3 linked regions of the Nothobranchius furzeri genome follow. The protein of the gene in region 1 interacts with the protein of each later gene in a pairwise test. Links are inferred from orthologs where the notes say so. Each region holds a gene or a part of one and is shown on either strand. Other genes may lie near its edges.

Region 1 (4,244 bases):
TAACTGCGGTAAAAATGTCACTTGGTAAGTTTTAGCTTTTACTCCAAACAATTAACATTGTTTAATTTTTACAACATAATTCTGGTTTGTGGTAAGGGCTCAAAAAAGAATAATGTCAGCCTCTTGTGGTGATGAAATGACATTACAAAAATGCATAAATATTTTTTCCAGTATTTGGGTTAAATGTACACTATTTTTACCACTCGTAATAGTTATTAACTTTGGCTCTAAATGAGTAATTTTTTGTTTTAAAAACATAATTCTGGCTTATAGTAAGTGTTATCTGATGGATGACGGCAATTAACTAAAAGAAATCTGTTCAGTCGATATTACAATCAACTTCTTGTCAAAAGTTCACCAAGATTTATTTCTAATTATGGGCATGAATTTTCACTGAGCAAGTTTTACGTATGGTTCTAAACAATTAACAATTTTTTAGTTTTTAGACACATTTGTGAGTGCCGTTTAATGAATGAACACAATTCTCAAAAGAATATTGACAAAAAGTGGTCTTACGCAACATTTAATCAAAATTTCATTAGGATTTTTTTCTCAATATTGAAGGAAAATTTTTCCCTTAAGAAGCTTTAACTTTTGTTCTAGATAGTTACAGTATCAAGTTTTATTTGTAAAACATATTTCATAAAAGAAATAAATAGGCACACTGCACATCATTCAAATGACAGCCAGCGCTCAACAGCTGGCACTGACAACTGAGAAGTAGAAAAAGGCGGCTGGAGCACTCAGATCAAATTAAGTATATTTAATGTGTGTAAGTAAAAAGAAAACTCTCGTCCTCCTGTAGTGGTAAAGTGGTGTGACACTGAACGTCACCATACTACGTTAAGAGAAAACATAAAATATCTGTTTTGTTATTAAATTAAATGTAAAATGTAGATACATGGAAATAAATTTTGTTCCAGTTTTATCAAGTTATTTTTTAATTTGTTGCTCATAATTAATTGGCGTGTTTTTACATAGTAAAAAGTGATTACATGACGCATTGTGCCTTTGAGAGTTTAAATCTGCCTTAATATCAATTTATTTATCTCTTATAGGCTATAAATTATTCTACACATCAAACCCTATTAGGGCCTCTGGCAATAAAACACTATTCTCATTTTGATTCTGATTCAGATGAACATTTGCACTTTTTAAGCTACGTAAATTTGCATTTAAATGTATTTAATTTAATTTTATACAGCATAATAATCGACCAACTTGTACCTGGGAGTACTGTAAACGGTGCCTCTTTTGTCCAACAGGGGGCGCGCTCGGTTCCACTCCATACTCCGACCTTAGCGGGATTCAAGAATCCTCAATCACTTCCGGGTTCATACACATTTGCAAAGGGGTTGAATATGATTCTATGAAGTAATAGATACATAATTTATCAAAGTTCTTCCCTGTAAGGGTTAGATTGTGCTTATATTATTGAAATTTTACACATTGTTGCTGCTGTTAGCTGTTGGAGCAGCGAGTGGTTTTGGCTGAAGATGTCTGCGGAGGAAGCGGACAAAACGACCACCACAGATGCCAGCGCAGGTGATGAAGAGGAAGAATGGCTCTATGGAGGTAAAATAACAATCCAACACCGCATCTCCACGCCGACACATACAGATATAAATATGTTTGATGCTCTGTCTATGACGATTTATCTACGAGTAATGAGGAGATGGGAGCATTAGCCGATAAGCTAACTAGCACCGCTCGTGTGTCGGCCTTCAGCAACAGCGGCATGCTTTTGAACAAAGTTAAAGACGCATAACACAGACAGTCATCTATTTAGTTCACTGTTTTCACTGTGATTAAATGAAGTAAAATCCCAATGACTCAACAGGTAAAACTTTACACGAAGTGCTTATTATTAAAGGGCTAAAAGTTTCATGTTTATGTTTTAGATGAATCAGAAAGTAAAGAAGAGGAGGAAGAAGCCAAACTGATCGCTGCTACCAGGTAACAACCACTCCCACCACCTTTAATCTAATGATCTGTAAAACATTAGACTTGCTTAAAACTCACACAATAGTTTTAAACGAGGATAAAACAAAAATCCGGGCATAAATACAAGCGGAGAGGTGCTGGTTGGTGGATTTGGGCTAAGCCAGGCAGCACTGAGTCGTCTACAGTTGGTTCAGAACTTTGTGGCCAAATTTCTGACAGGGACAAGGAGGTCGGCACACATCACTCCTGTGCTGGTCTTATTACATTGGCTCCCTGTAGGTTTTCGGGCTAAGTTTAAAGTTATGTGCTATGTCTTCAGTCTCTTTATGGTGGTGCTCCACCTTACTTGGCAGCATTAATAAAAAAAGACGTACCCCATCACAGCCTCTACGTTCGGCTGAGCTGGAGCTACTGACTGTCCCACAAACTAGGTACAGGTCTAGAGGTGATTGGTAGGGTTGGGCATCGTTTGATTTTGAACAATTCCAATTTCAATTCCTCGTTTTGATTCCGGTTCCTGTTGATTCCGATTCTTTCAAGACATGACATGTTTTACATGAGCCAGCTAACCACAGGTCCTACTTGATGAAATTATCTTAACCTCAACATGATTTTTAATTCTATGAACAACAACATCACCTTCATTTAGACAAAAACATGTTTTGGAGAACAAAAGAAAAAGACTTGCAGCACAACCAGTGTGTTTGTTTCTGACCACAACCAAAGTCTGGAAGAAGCCTCTAGGATGAGAGGCTAAATGTCTCCAACATATCCAGAAACGTCCAGCTGTCTTCAGCTGAAGCTCTCAGGATGATCATGTCCAGGATGACTGAGAACCACACCTCCATGCTGCAGCAGCATTCAGTCAGAACAGGAAGTGAAACTTAAACGTAGCTGCTGTCAGTAACAATCTAACAGATTTAAACATTAAAACTCAACAGAAATAGTTCAGAAAGGAAATTTCACAACTTTGTGTGTGATTTATTATTATTATTATTATTATAATTATTTATTGTGGCAGAAGCTGGTGTGGTCCACCACGGAGAAGCTGCTCTAGCATGATGACTTTAATTATTCTACAGGTTATTGTTCAGCCTTCTGATGCTCACGCTCACACACACACACACACACACACACACACACACACACACACACACACACACACACACACACACACACACACACAGAGTGTTGTTGAGCGGCTGACGCTCCGTGTGTGTTATTTCTGCAGAGTTTGTTCTTTAAAGCTTCTATTAAATCCACCGTGTTGACGTATTTAACAAGTTTCCTCTACGCTGCAGGAGTTAAAGTTACATTACGGAGTAAAAGTTCGGTGGACGTGTTTGTTTATATCCGGGGGGGGGGCTCGGTGCTGCACACAGACAGCTGCTGTGATCAGCTCTGAAAAGTGTTGATCACAATTTGCAGATCACGTTTATTTTTCACGGAGGTCGGTCGCGGATTCTTCTGGTTGGCATTCTAGGAATCGAAATAAAAACTTTGAACGATTCCGGGAAAAACTTAACAGTTGATCCCGGTTCCAATCGATGCTCGATGCCCAACCCTAGGATCGGACTTTCTCAGTCTTGGCTCCTTCTCTCTGGAATGAGCTTCCATTTGATATAAAACGATCACCTTTGCTGCAGGTTTTTAAGAGTCGTTTGATGACTCATTTTTATCATTTGGCTTTTATATGACCTGGTTGTATGCGATTATGTCTGTATGTTGTTTTTACCTCGTTTTTATTGCTATCTGTGTTTTTACTGTATTTAATGTCAGCAGCTTGGGCTCCTGCAAAGGCAGTGGAAGCTGCTATACAAATAAAGATTGATGGATTGATTTGCCACAACTAAAGATGTCTGACTCAATAGGTTGTTGTGTGTACTGAGCATCTATGACAGCACGACGAGGGCGGTTTCAGTATGAATTCTGATTGAACAACAAAGTGTTTGTACATTTAACCAACAGCTTACCCACTGACATAACAACAGAAGAGGCTGTTGCAGAGGCTACAGGAAACGGCGTGGCCTCTGAGGTAGGTAATCTTTGCATTTCTTATATTTTTGTCCTTTTTGTGTTTGTTTTCTGATCGATGATGATCTTTTATCTCATTTGCTTGTTTTGTCTGAACTCTCAGGCCACAGGGGAAGCTGCCGGTGAGGATGTGGACAGTGACAGCGACAGCGATGACGACGACGACGATGTCCGTGTGACCATCGGTGACATAAAAACTGGAGCACCACAATACCCGTAGGCTTTAATCGTGTTTTAAAAACGACTCCCATTTCAGCACTTTTGTC
Region 2 (4,400 bases), on another chromosome or scaffold:
CTAATAATGGTAAATGGTCTGATTTTGTACAGCGCTTTGAATCATCTACTGACTCCAGGGCGCTTTATGCTCACATTCAAACACTGGTGGTGATGAGCTACACTGTAGCCACAGCTGCCCTGGGGCAACCCGACAGAAGCTAGGCCACCGGGTTCTCTGATCAACACAAGTACGCAACAAGTGTGACGTGTCTTGCCCACGGACACGACGACAGGTTGGTGGGAGCAGGGTTTGAACCAGCGACCTCAAATCAGTAACTGACCACTTCTTCCACCTCCCACATGTTACATGGTTACGATGCGTTACACTATTTAAAAAAATGGCAGAAAAGGTGCCAACAACAAGTTGAAAAGACTTTTATCGTTGTTGGACGGCATTCGTATGGTCTGGTGTTAGAACATTTTCTATGACTCCAGGGGGGTCTGCAGAAAAAGGGGTTGAACCTGTTTTTTTTTAATGTAGCTCATTTGAACGTCCGTTTCCTACAACATCCACTGCACCTTTAAATAGCCTGGCCAGCCTTCCTTATGGGAAGCATTGGCATGTTGTAGAATAGACAGAGGGTGAGTCTGGCAGGCCAGGCTACCTTAGAAACACGAAGCTGTTCAAACCAAAGGGTTCAGTCCTGTAGAAATAGTGTTTGTCCACCAGATGGCGCTCTAACCAAACTGTTCAACATAAAGTTGACCTGAACCACTTAGTGACTGTTTCTTTCCAATTTGTCTTTTTTTTAATTAAAACCTTAAAGGCATCAAGTTAAAATTTTACTTTGTATGATATATAAAGAGATCTTTACTCTGAATATATGGAATCATAGAATAATAATCATTCAGGAGACACTTGCATACTTTAATGCTAACTGAACATTCATTTAAGCCGACATGGTTGAATTTCAGTGTCACAATTACCACTGACGGTTGCGCCAACTGAGCGCAGAACAAGCTGATGATGCCGGTTCCACAGCCGAGGTCCATCACCGCCTTGTTCTTCAGGGAGGCACTGTTGCGGAGAACAACCTGCCGGTACGTCTCGGTGCGGCTCCTGTCCGACAACATCTCTAGGTGAAGCTTCTGCATCGTAAGAGATAAACTGAATTTAACATGATGACATGGAGGGGTGAAAATATATCAGAACCATCAGAAACCGTGCTCCCAATCACTCCCGCTAACAGATGAAAAGTAGCAACATAAAACACATGTGTGGTTGATGGTGTGAAAGCAAACCCAACAGGTTTTAATTATGTAGCAGAAGGTGATTAATAAGTGGACGTGAGCACAAGGGCAGCTAGGTTGCTTTATTGAATATGCTGACGTGGTCGCTTTGGCTCATTGATCCTTTACCTGACCGAGGTGCAAATTAGAATCCACAACTTTGACTAAGTCTGAAACATCAGCAGCCTCACCGTGCTGTAAACTGTTCAGTTCCTGATGCCGTTCATGGTTCTGAGGCAGGAAACAAGATTTGTAATAAGCCCCTTTGTTCTATTCCAAACGCTTTTTCAGTTTTTGACTTGAATCCATAACGCTGTGCACACAACACTCCAGCAAATATATTCCATTTAATGGTCTGTTTTCTCTGCAGAGGAAAATCACAGTCACGATACGATTTTCAGAAATACAAAAGATCTGCAGGACCAGTCCTCTAGTCCCTGCAGTCGTAAAGAACAGAGGAGGCTAATGTGACTTTTTAATGGTGCTGCACTCTTTCTGACTATGTGCAGAAATCTCTGCACAACAAATCCATAATAAACCTGCAAATAACCTCTTAATTATTAAAGATTTGTTGAGGTAAATATCTATTCCTAGCCCCCACAAAATGAACACATAACATGCATGAATGACGAGGACAAGAAATCTCCTCTAATGAACAGAACAGTGGCAGAATCTCATTATCGATTTCCGGTGTTGTTATTAACAAAGCTTGAATTTTGTCAAAAACTCAAAAACACGTATTAATGTTTCTTTTATTTTAATGGCATTAAAGTATTTTTGAATCCGCCGCAAACTCATATGCTTCAATGCTACTGAGACAACATCAGTAAAGTCTCTACGGAGGTTAGAGATTAGGATTTAGGTGGAGAACAGGCCACACACACTGCTGCCTCAGGAGACTAACACTTTATTTATTTTTTTAACTTCAGCAGCATTCCTGGATGTAAAAATAAACCCCAAACTAAGCAGATTCTGCAAAAAAATTAAATAAATAAAATTTAAGAATGACATAATCATCTAAGGAACAACAGATGGGATATTTTCTCTGTGGGTGTGCCATTTCACTATTATTTCTCAAGTATTGTACTTTTTAAGTTTTTGTGTGCTTTACAGTCAAAACCTGACATGATATAGTGTAGAGCTCAAATTCAGGCTAAACTTATGAAGATATTGCAGCTTCTACACATTCTAAATGCACAAGTGTTGCTTTAATCATGCAAACCGACCTAAAGTTTCATAGGATAAATGTTTGATGTTTCTGACCAGTGTTCCATAGCTCCCAAAGTACTCTTCATCCTGCCAGGGGTCTTCTATAGAGGTGTCTTCCTCCTCAGCTGTGTCCTGGCGCAGGTAGCTGGCAGGGACATACCCTATGACCCCACGGACCTCCGCCCACCACCAGGCTGCAGAAGGTTTGGCGTGAACAAGCAGCTTGTCCCCTGAGCTGAAACTAAGCTGCGGGACACAAGTGATGAAGTGAGTGTGTTCTGTGGCTGAACCGCTGTTTGTTTGCCTCTAACCTGCTCGGAGCCACTTCCTGAGAAATCAGACAAAGCCACAAACTCTTCAGGAGACGCGTCTTCTTCGTCCTCTTTCTCCGCCTCCATGTTCCAGAGGGTTCAGGCGAGTGAAGTGGTTTTGTTTTATAAATTGTCTCAAATTTTGAACCTGACAAATCTGGGTTTAAAAATAACCAAAACGTGCTTTGTTACCACAGCGAAACAAGCGGTAAAACGCGTCACGCACTTCCTGCTTTGGTGCTGCCTTCAAGTCTGTCGGAAATAGCTGAATTCGTGCGTGACCACTGTTTACACGCACATAGCATATCGTGCTTTAAAAAGAACTGAAAGATAGAATTTGAAACTAAACACAGCAAGAACACACCAACGATAGCAGATCATTTAAAGGGGAACTGCGAGTTTTTATTTTACTCTCTAGACCAGGGATGTCCAAACTTTTCAAGGCGAGGGCTAAAATGGCTGTTTAAAGTCACTGGGGGCCACAAGAATGTAGGTTTCTTCATAAAAAATTGCAAGCATTATTTTGTGGCAATTTTTCTTATTTGTGCTCTTCAAAATGAACCCAAAATAGGCTAATAAGTAAAAATCTCAACACAAACATGTTAGAAAGTGGGTTACATTCCACATGGAAAGACAAAATTCATCATTCTAAAAATTCAAATGGAGGCCTTACAAAATCGCTTGGAGGGCCGTAAATGCCCCCCGAGCCACACTGGACACGCCTACTCTAGAGTAAATACAAAACTATATAATTAAGCTCCTTGCTCAAAACTAGTCTCGCATAAAGTGAGCAGCTTTTTAAGTACTTTCTAGAATGAGCCGTTCTTTCACTTTAAGCAAAACAGTTTCTGGTCCCTGATTGGTTGCCGTTGGAGGAGGTCATCCAGCATCTGAAGTTGAAGGGATTCTATGATAATTTTATTTGTGATGTCACAATATAGAATTTTTTGAAAAATAGTTTTTTCTGTTCTTATCTTGCACACAGAGTAGCAAAGTTTTGTTTTTTTACGTTACCTGCTGAAAGTTTCGGCGTTGCAGAGATTCGCCATTCTGGCGGCGTCACTTCCGCTGTTTATCCACTGAAGATGCCTAAACGAAGCGATTGAGATTGGTAAACGTGGACTCTGGGCCATGAAAAGTGATGGAGTTTACACGCTGGATCATTCATGGGACGTGGTGATCGGCAGGGAAGGTGCGGGCTGTAGAGGGCGACATCGTTCCACACCGCCCGGGATTAACAGCAGAAGTGACGACACCGCAGAAGCTCTGATGATGGCGACTGTGATGCCCTGTCAGCAAAAAAAAAAAAAAAAAAAAAAAAGATAAAGAAGAAAAAACATTTTGCTTCGCTTTACAAAATAAGAACAGAAAACCCATGGAAATAGAAGAGAAACACAGAAAAGCACAAGGAATTTTTGAAACAGCTCATTTCAGACGAATAACACCTGAAGTCAAACTCAACAAGTGAAAGCACAGATTTTATCCTTGTTTGGATATGTGTAGGGGTAGTAGAGTCATATGGCAGCTCTAAAAATGCAAAAAGTGCATTTTGCACACGTCCCTGTGAGTTTATTGACGTTGGGGAAAAGCTGGTTATTTTTCAGCTTGAATTGCTTGTTCTTCTCATATTCTACATGTTTGAATTTTTTTATTTAAAGTACATAAAAGG
Region 3 (4,279 bases), on another chromosome or scaffold:
ACAACTTTGGCCCGCGGGCCGCCTATTGAAGACCACTGCTTTAAACAGAATTGTTTCTTCTATGGTTCTTTCGAGAAAGAAAGAAAATTATCTTTCATTTAGCGCCTCTCAAGATAAAAATCATGAGGTGCTTCACAAAAACTAACAATTTTACATACATAAAATATTTTTAAAAAACAATTACAAAATTTTTTTTAAATTACAATAAATTTAAAAACTGCGAGGAAAGGGAGAGAAAATGAATAGGAAAGAGGAGAAACATTAAGTAATTCCAGGAGGACTTAACCCCTGACTTGCTGCTGGAAAATAACCAGATAATTCCATGTCATGTGATACGGATGGCAGTGAATGTGTCTCAAAAGTAGGGCTGGGCGATTTGGCCTAAAATCAATATCACGATATATTGAGGATTTCTCCTCGATAACGATACATTTTCGGTTTATTGCACAGCCCTACTCAAACTCTTGTTTTAACGCCCCCTATTGGGGACCTCTACAGTTTCATGTCCCAAACATCTACAACTGTCCACATTCTCCAAACAACTAAAACCACAATCAAACAGCCCAGATGGGAAACAAGGCCATTTTAAATTGTAATAAATTAAGATACAATGATATTTGAACTTTTAGAAAAGCGTCTGGCCTTCACTGGTGTCTGCTGCAAAAAACGATTGAACAAACTTAGTTGAGGACCCCTGGAATAAATAAAATAAGACTAAATTTCTGAAATCGAATTTGAACTCACAACCTCCACCCTGTCACACAGCCCTCCTCTTCTAAAATTAAGTTCAAGTATTATTTTATCTTAATTTATCAAAATCCAAAAATTGCTTTGTTTAAAATCGAAACTGTTTTGATTGTAGCTGTACTCGGGGAATGCAAACAATCACTGACATTTGGGACATGAAACTCCAAAGGCCTCCAATTGGGAGGCGCCAGGGCCCAAAGAGTTAATTCTAAAGATTGGTGCTGTTTGCAGATAACAACACACTTCAGTAGCTCCAAGACTAGCCATTAGCTCATCAGTCCAGTCAGACTTAAACTTTATTTCTCCCAACAGAGGCTTTTCTAGAAGCTCTTTAGAAAAAATAGTAAATATTTATGTATTTCACCTGCTTCAAAAAGGCAGAAAAAATAATTTTTTTAAAGTTGGCTGAACTAAGAGTTGTTTAATAAATTTGTGAGTGAGTGGTCGTACCTTTGTCTGGTTCTGAAGTTGCTGTTGAAGAGGAGGCTGTTCAGAAGTTCCCATAGGCAGCTCAAACCGGGGGCTGCAGGAAAACATCTCAGTAAATTTTACATCTTTGATTGTGTTATTTCAGAATCTCCTAACCCAAAAATCCACTTTTACTAAATAAAAACTGGATCTTAAACAGGTAATTTATGTAAAAAATCAAATAAAACAAATGACTTACTGCATAAATTTACAGGACTTTCCTTCTGGACAGAAACCCACCAGGTAGTTCACACAGATCACCCTTCTTGTGTGTCTGTGTCTGCAGTCAGGCCCTGAACACACAAACATCCAGAAGCCGTTTGAAGAAAGAGCAGAAAAAGAGTTTTTCTCACCCACATGCCGGATCTTACCGTGTTTACAGAAGCCTCGGTCGTACCATGGACAGTCTTTGATCTTAGACTCTGGATCAATGTGCAGGAAGGGACATTCCTTATTGCTACACTCACCTGGGGGTCAACACATATAAGAAATAAAATATTCAGAGCCTTGAAGACAAGTGTTGAGTGGTTAAGAGGCACAAGAGCCACACTTAGAATTCATTTAATGTGTTAAAGATAAAGAGAAAGTCAACTAACCAAACTTTGAGTAGAAGTAGCATTCAGGCATCTTTGTCATGTCATACTCATGGAGAAACTCGCACTGGTCTCCTTTCTTACACAGTCCTCTGAGCCAGTGTTTACACACCACCGTCTTCTCTCCGCTGATGTGACGGAACGGACACATCCCACCTGAATCACATTCACAGTTACAACATTCATCTCATTTGAACAACTGCAAAGTCGGGTTGTTGCAGAGCTACAAAAACAAGAGTCAGAAGAAATCAAGTCAAAATACTTTCTCCTCTTTTGTCATACAAATCAAATCTTTTATGTTAATGTCACTACAAGGAAGAGCGAGATCAGAAGCGGTGGTTGACTCTGTGTTTGGCATAAAAATAGAAGTGAGAATCATAAGTAACATAAAAATGTGACAAAGAGTAACAATAAACACTTTATAAATAGAAAAGGTCTGTTTATGAAAAGATTGCACCGGTTTAGCTATAGTCTCTATTGCACACTAGAAAGAATTTTATTAGGAATTCAGAACCATGATGCGGAGACAACCAGTGAGTGGAGGGTTACCAATACATTTTATTTAGAATTGTAAAGCTTTGATGAACGTTTCAGATTAAAATAAAATAAGCAGCATTTGTGTGTCTAATGGAAACACACATGGACCCGTGACCAACAACAAAACGAAGTAAAAACTACTGAAATTATATTTTTTTACCTTTCATGCAGGTTCCTCTGGTGAAGTACTCACACACAGCTGACCCTGACTCTACAGGGGGACACATTAGCACAGAACTGATTAACACAAGCATGTGTGTACCTGCCGTTAGCTCTCTCATTAGGGTTCATTCAGATAAAGCGGCTAATAGCAGGTAGCATCCCTACACTTACTGTCCATGCCGGGGAAAGGCAGAGGCTGCGCTCCCAGCTGCTGCTCCATAGCTAGTTCCAGATCGAACTTGATGTGATCCACGGTGGCCAACAAGTCCTGCATGTTTGCTTTGGTTTTCTGCCCTCAAGCCAAATAAGTTGTTTTCGCCTGTGCTAGCTTGAAATCGAACCTGTTAGCTTAGCTACCTCATCCGCACACTAACGAAAGCGTAGGCTAACGAAACTTGACGGTCAAACAGATTAACAAAATATAATTAGAAAACATGTAAATAAACTAAGTTTGTAGTTTTACTGCGTAAAAAAAAACTTCTGACCGTGGTTCAGGTCTGTCAGTTCCGTTTTAGTTATCGTTCTACTCGTTGCTCAGCGTGACGGTGTTGGCGCGCGCACAACGATCACCGAGCTGACGGATCTAGACTGAACTAATCGATAAACGAGGCCTTTCACGTTTCACTTGGAAAATGCTTGCCTCTTTATTTTTTATTTTTTATTTTTTTATTTTTGCTTTAATTTTTTGTTTCATGAAAAATGAGAAGAGTACTTATTGAGAAGAATATTATGAATTGTAAAATTATTTCCAGGATGAACCTTACTAGATTCCTATTTTATAGTGAGTTTTTTTTTCTGTTTTAAAATATGTAGTCATTTTTAATTTTCGTTTGTCTGTCACATAGTTTAAAATTTATTTGTTTGTACAATTTCGTAATTAAAATCACTACTGATCTGACGCTGGGTCTGTGACGTCACAGCTGAGTCTCTTCTCCCCCAGCATAGTTGCTACTTACCACATGGCCAGATTTGTGGTGGTTTTCTCCATATTTAATGTATCTTCTTTCATCCTGGAAGGATTTGCAGCTTGTCACCATTCTTTTTCTCATCTTCTCTGTGTCTGGTTCAATTACATAAATTTGGTGAGACAAGTATTTGTAGACCGTCCTCTACGTCATTTACACAAAACCTAAAGTAACTTTTGTCACCTGTCAAAAATAAACACTTTATTGGCATAAAATTGTATTTTTTAAATTCACAGACATCATATGTCAAAACAATGGCACATTTCAAACAGGATCAGAAAACAACTTATTGGCTCATACATTTTTTTGGAACTAGGGGGCCCACAAACTGACATGGAAGAGTAAGCAAGAGCACATAAAAAGTAATAAAAGAAGAAGAAGAAAATATCATTTCTATAGTGCCTCTCAAGATAAAAATCACGAGGCGCTTCACAAAAACAAAAAATGTAAAAATATAGAGTCCACCTTTAATCTTTTGAAAATGTTAAAAAAAGAGTTTAAAATAGGCAACAAAGATTTATTTTGATATTTACAACTGAGGCATTTCTCTGACATTCAGGTGAAACCACAACTAGCGGGAAACTGTAATGTGCTGGTTAAAATTATACTGAACTCGAAAAACCAATTGCCGTCCAAGGTAGTTTCTAAATTATACAGCTGTATTAAAAAATGTAATGGAAATAATTCACAATATGTAAAAACCAAATGGGAAAAGGATATGCAAAAGGAAATTTCAGAAGATGATTAGCATTCAATGTGCAAAACAAACTCAGCTCTACCAGCTCCAGGAACTGGTGAGAATCCGGA

The links.
Region 2: the proteins of fip1l1b (region 1) and prmt2 interact in a two-hybrid assay, tested with the Homo sapiens proteins (2 studies listed by BioGRID and IntAct). The link is inferred for Nothobranchius furzeri from reciprocal best matches to the Homo sapiens genes FIP1L1 and PRMT2.
Region 3: the proteins of fip1l1b (region 1) and cpsf4 interact in binary tests that used the Homo sapiens proteins (3 or more experiments, as listed by UniProt). The two-hybrid records come from large-scale screens. The link is inferred for Nothobranchius furzeri from reciprocal best matches to the Homo sapiens genes FIP1L1 and CPSF4.

What each region holds. Positions count from the first base shown.
Region 1 is NC_091747.1:75,989,807-75,994,050, reverse strand, and holds the start of fip1l1b (pre-mRNA 3'-end-processing factor FIP1), read left to right. Parts: upstream 1-1,341; 5' UTR 1,342-1,496; coding exon 1,497-1,575; intron 1,576-1,901; coding exon 1,902-1,956; intron 1,957-3,912; coding exon 3,913-3,979; intron 3,980-4,081; coding exon 4,082-4,194; intron 4,195-4,244.
Region 2 is NC_091754.1:17,486,684-17,491,083, reverse strand, and holds the start of prmt2 (protein arginine N-methyltransferase 2), read right to left. Parts: upstream 2,869-4,400; 5' UTR 2,819-2,868; coding exon 2,732-2,818; exon of another isoform or gene 2,699-2,731; intron 2,667-2,698; coding exon 2,475-2,666; intron 1,071-2,474; coding exon 909-1,070; intron 1-908. UniProt on the Homo sapiens protein: Arginine methyltransferase that methylates the guanidino nitrogens of arginyl residues in proteins such as STAT3, FBL, histone H4. Acts as a coactivator (with NCOA2) of the androgen receptor (AR)-mediated transactivation.
Region 3 is NC_091752.1:65,592,063-65,596,341, forward strand, and holds the start of cpsf4 (cleavage and polyadenylation specificity factor subunit 4), read right to left. Parts: upstream 3,084-4,279; 5' UTR 2,782-3,083; coding exon 2,679-2,781; intron 2,557-2,678; coding exon 2,506-2,556; intron 1,965-2,505; coding exon 1,812-1,964; intron 1,683-1,811; coding exon 1,587-1,682; intron 1,509-1,586; coding exon 1,415-1,508; intron 1,271-1,414; coding exon 1,198-1,270; intron 1-1,197. UniProt on the Homo sapiens protein: Component of the cleavage and polyadenylation specificity factor (CPSF) complex that play a key role in pre-mRNA 3'-end formation, recognizing the AAUAAA signal sequence and interacting with poly(A) polymerase and other factors to bring about cleavage and poly(A) addition.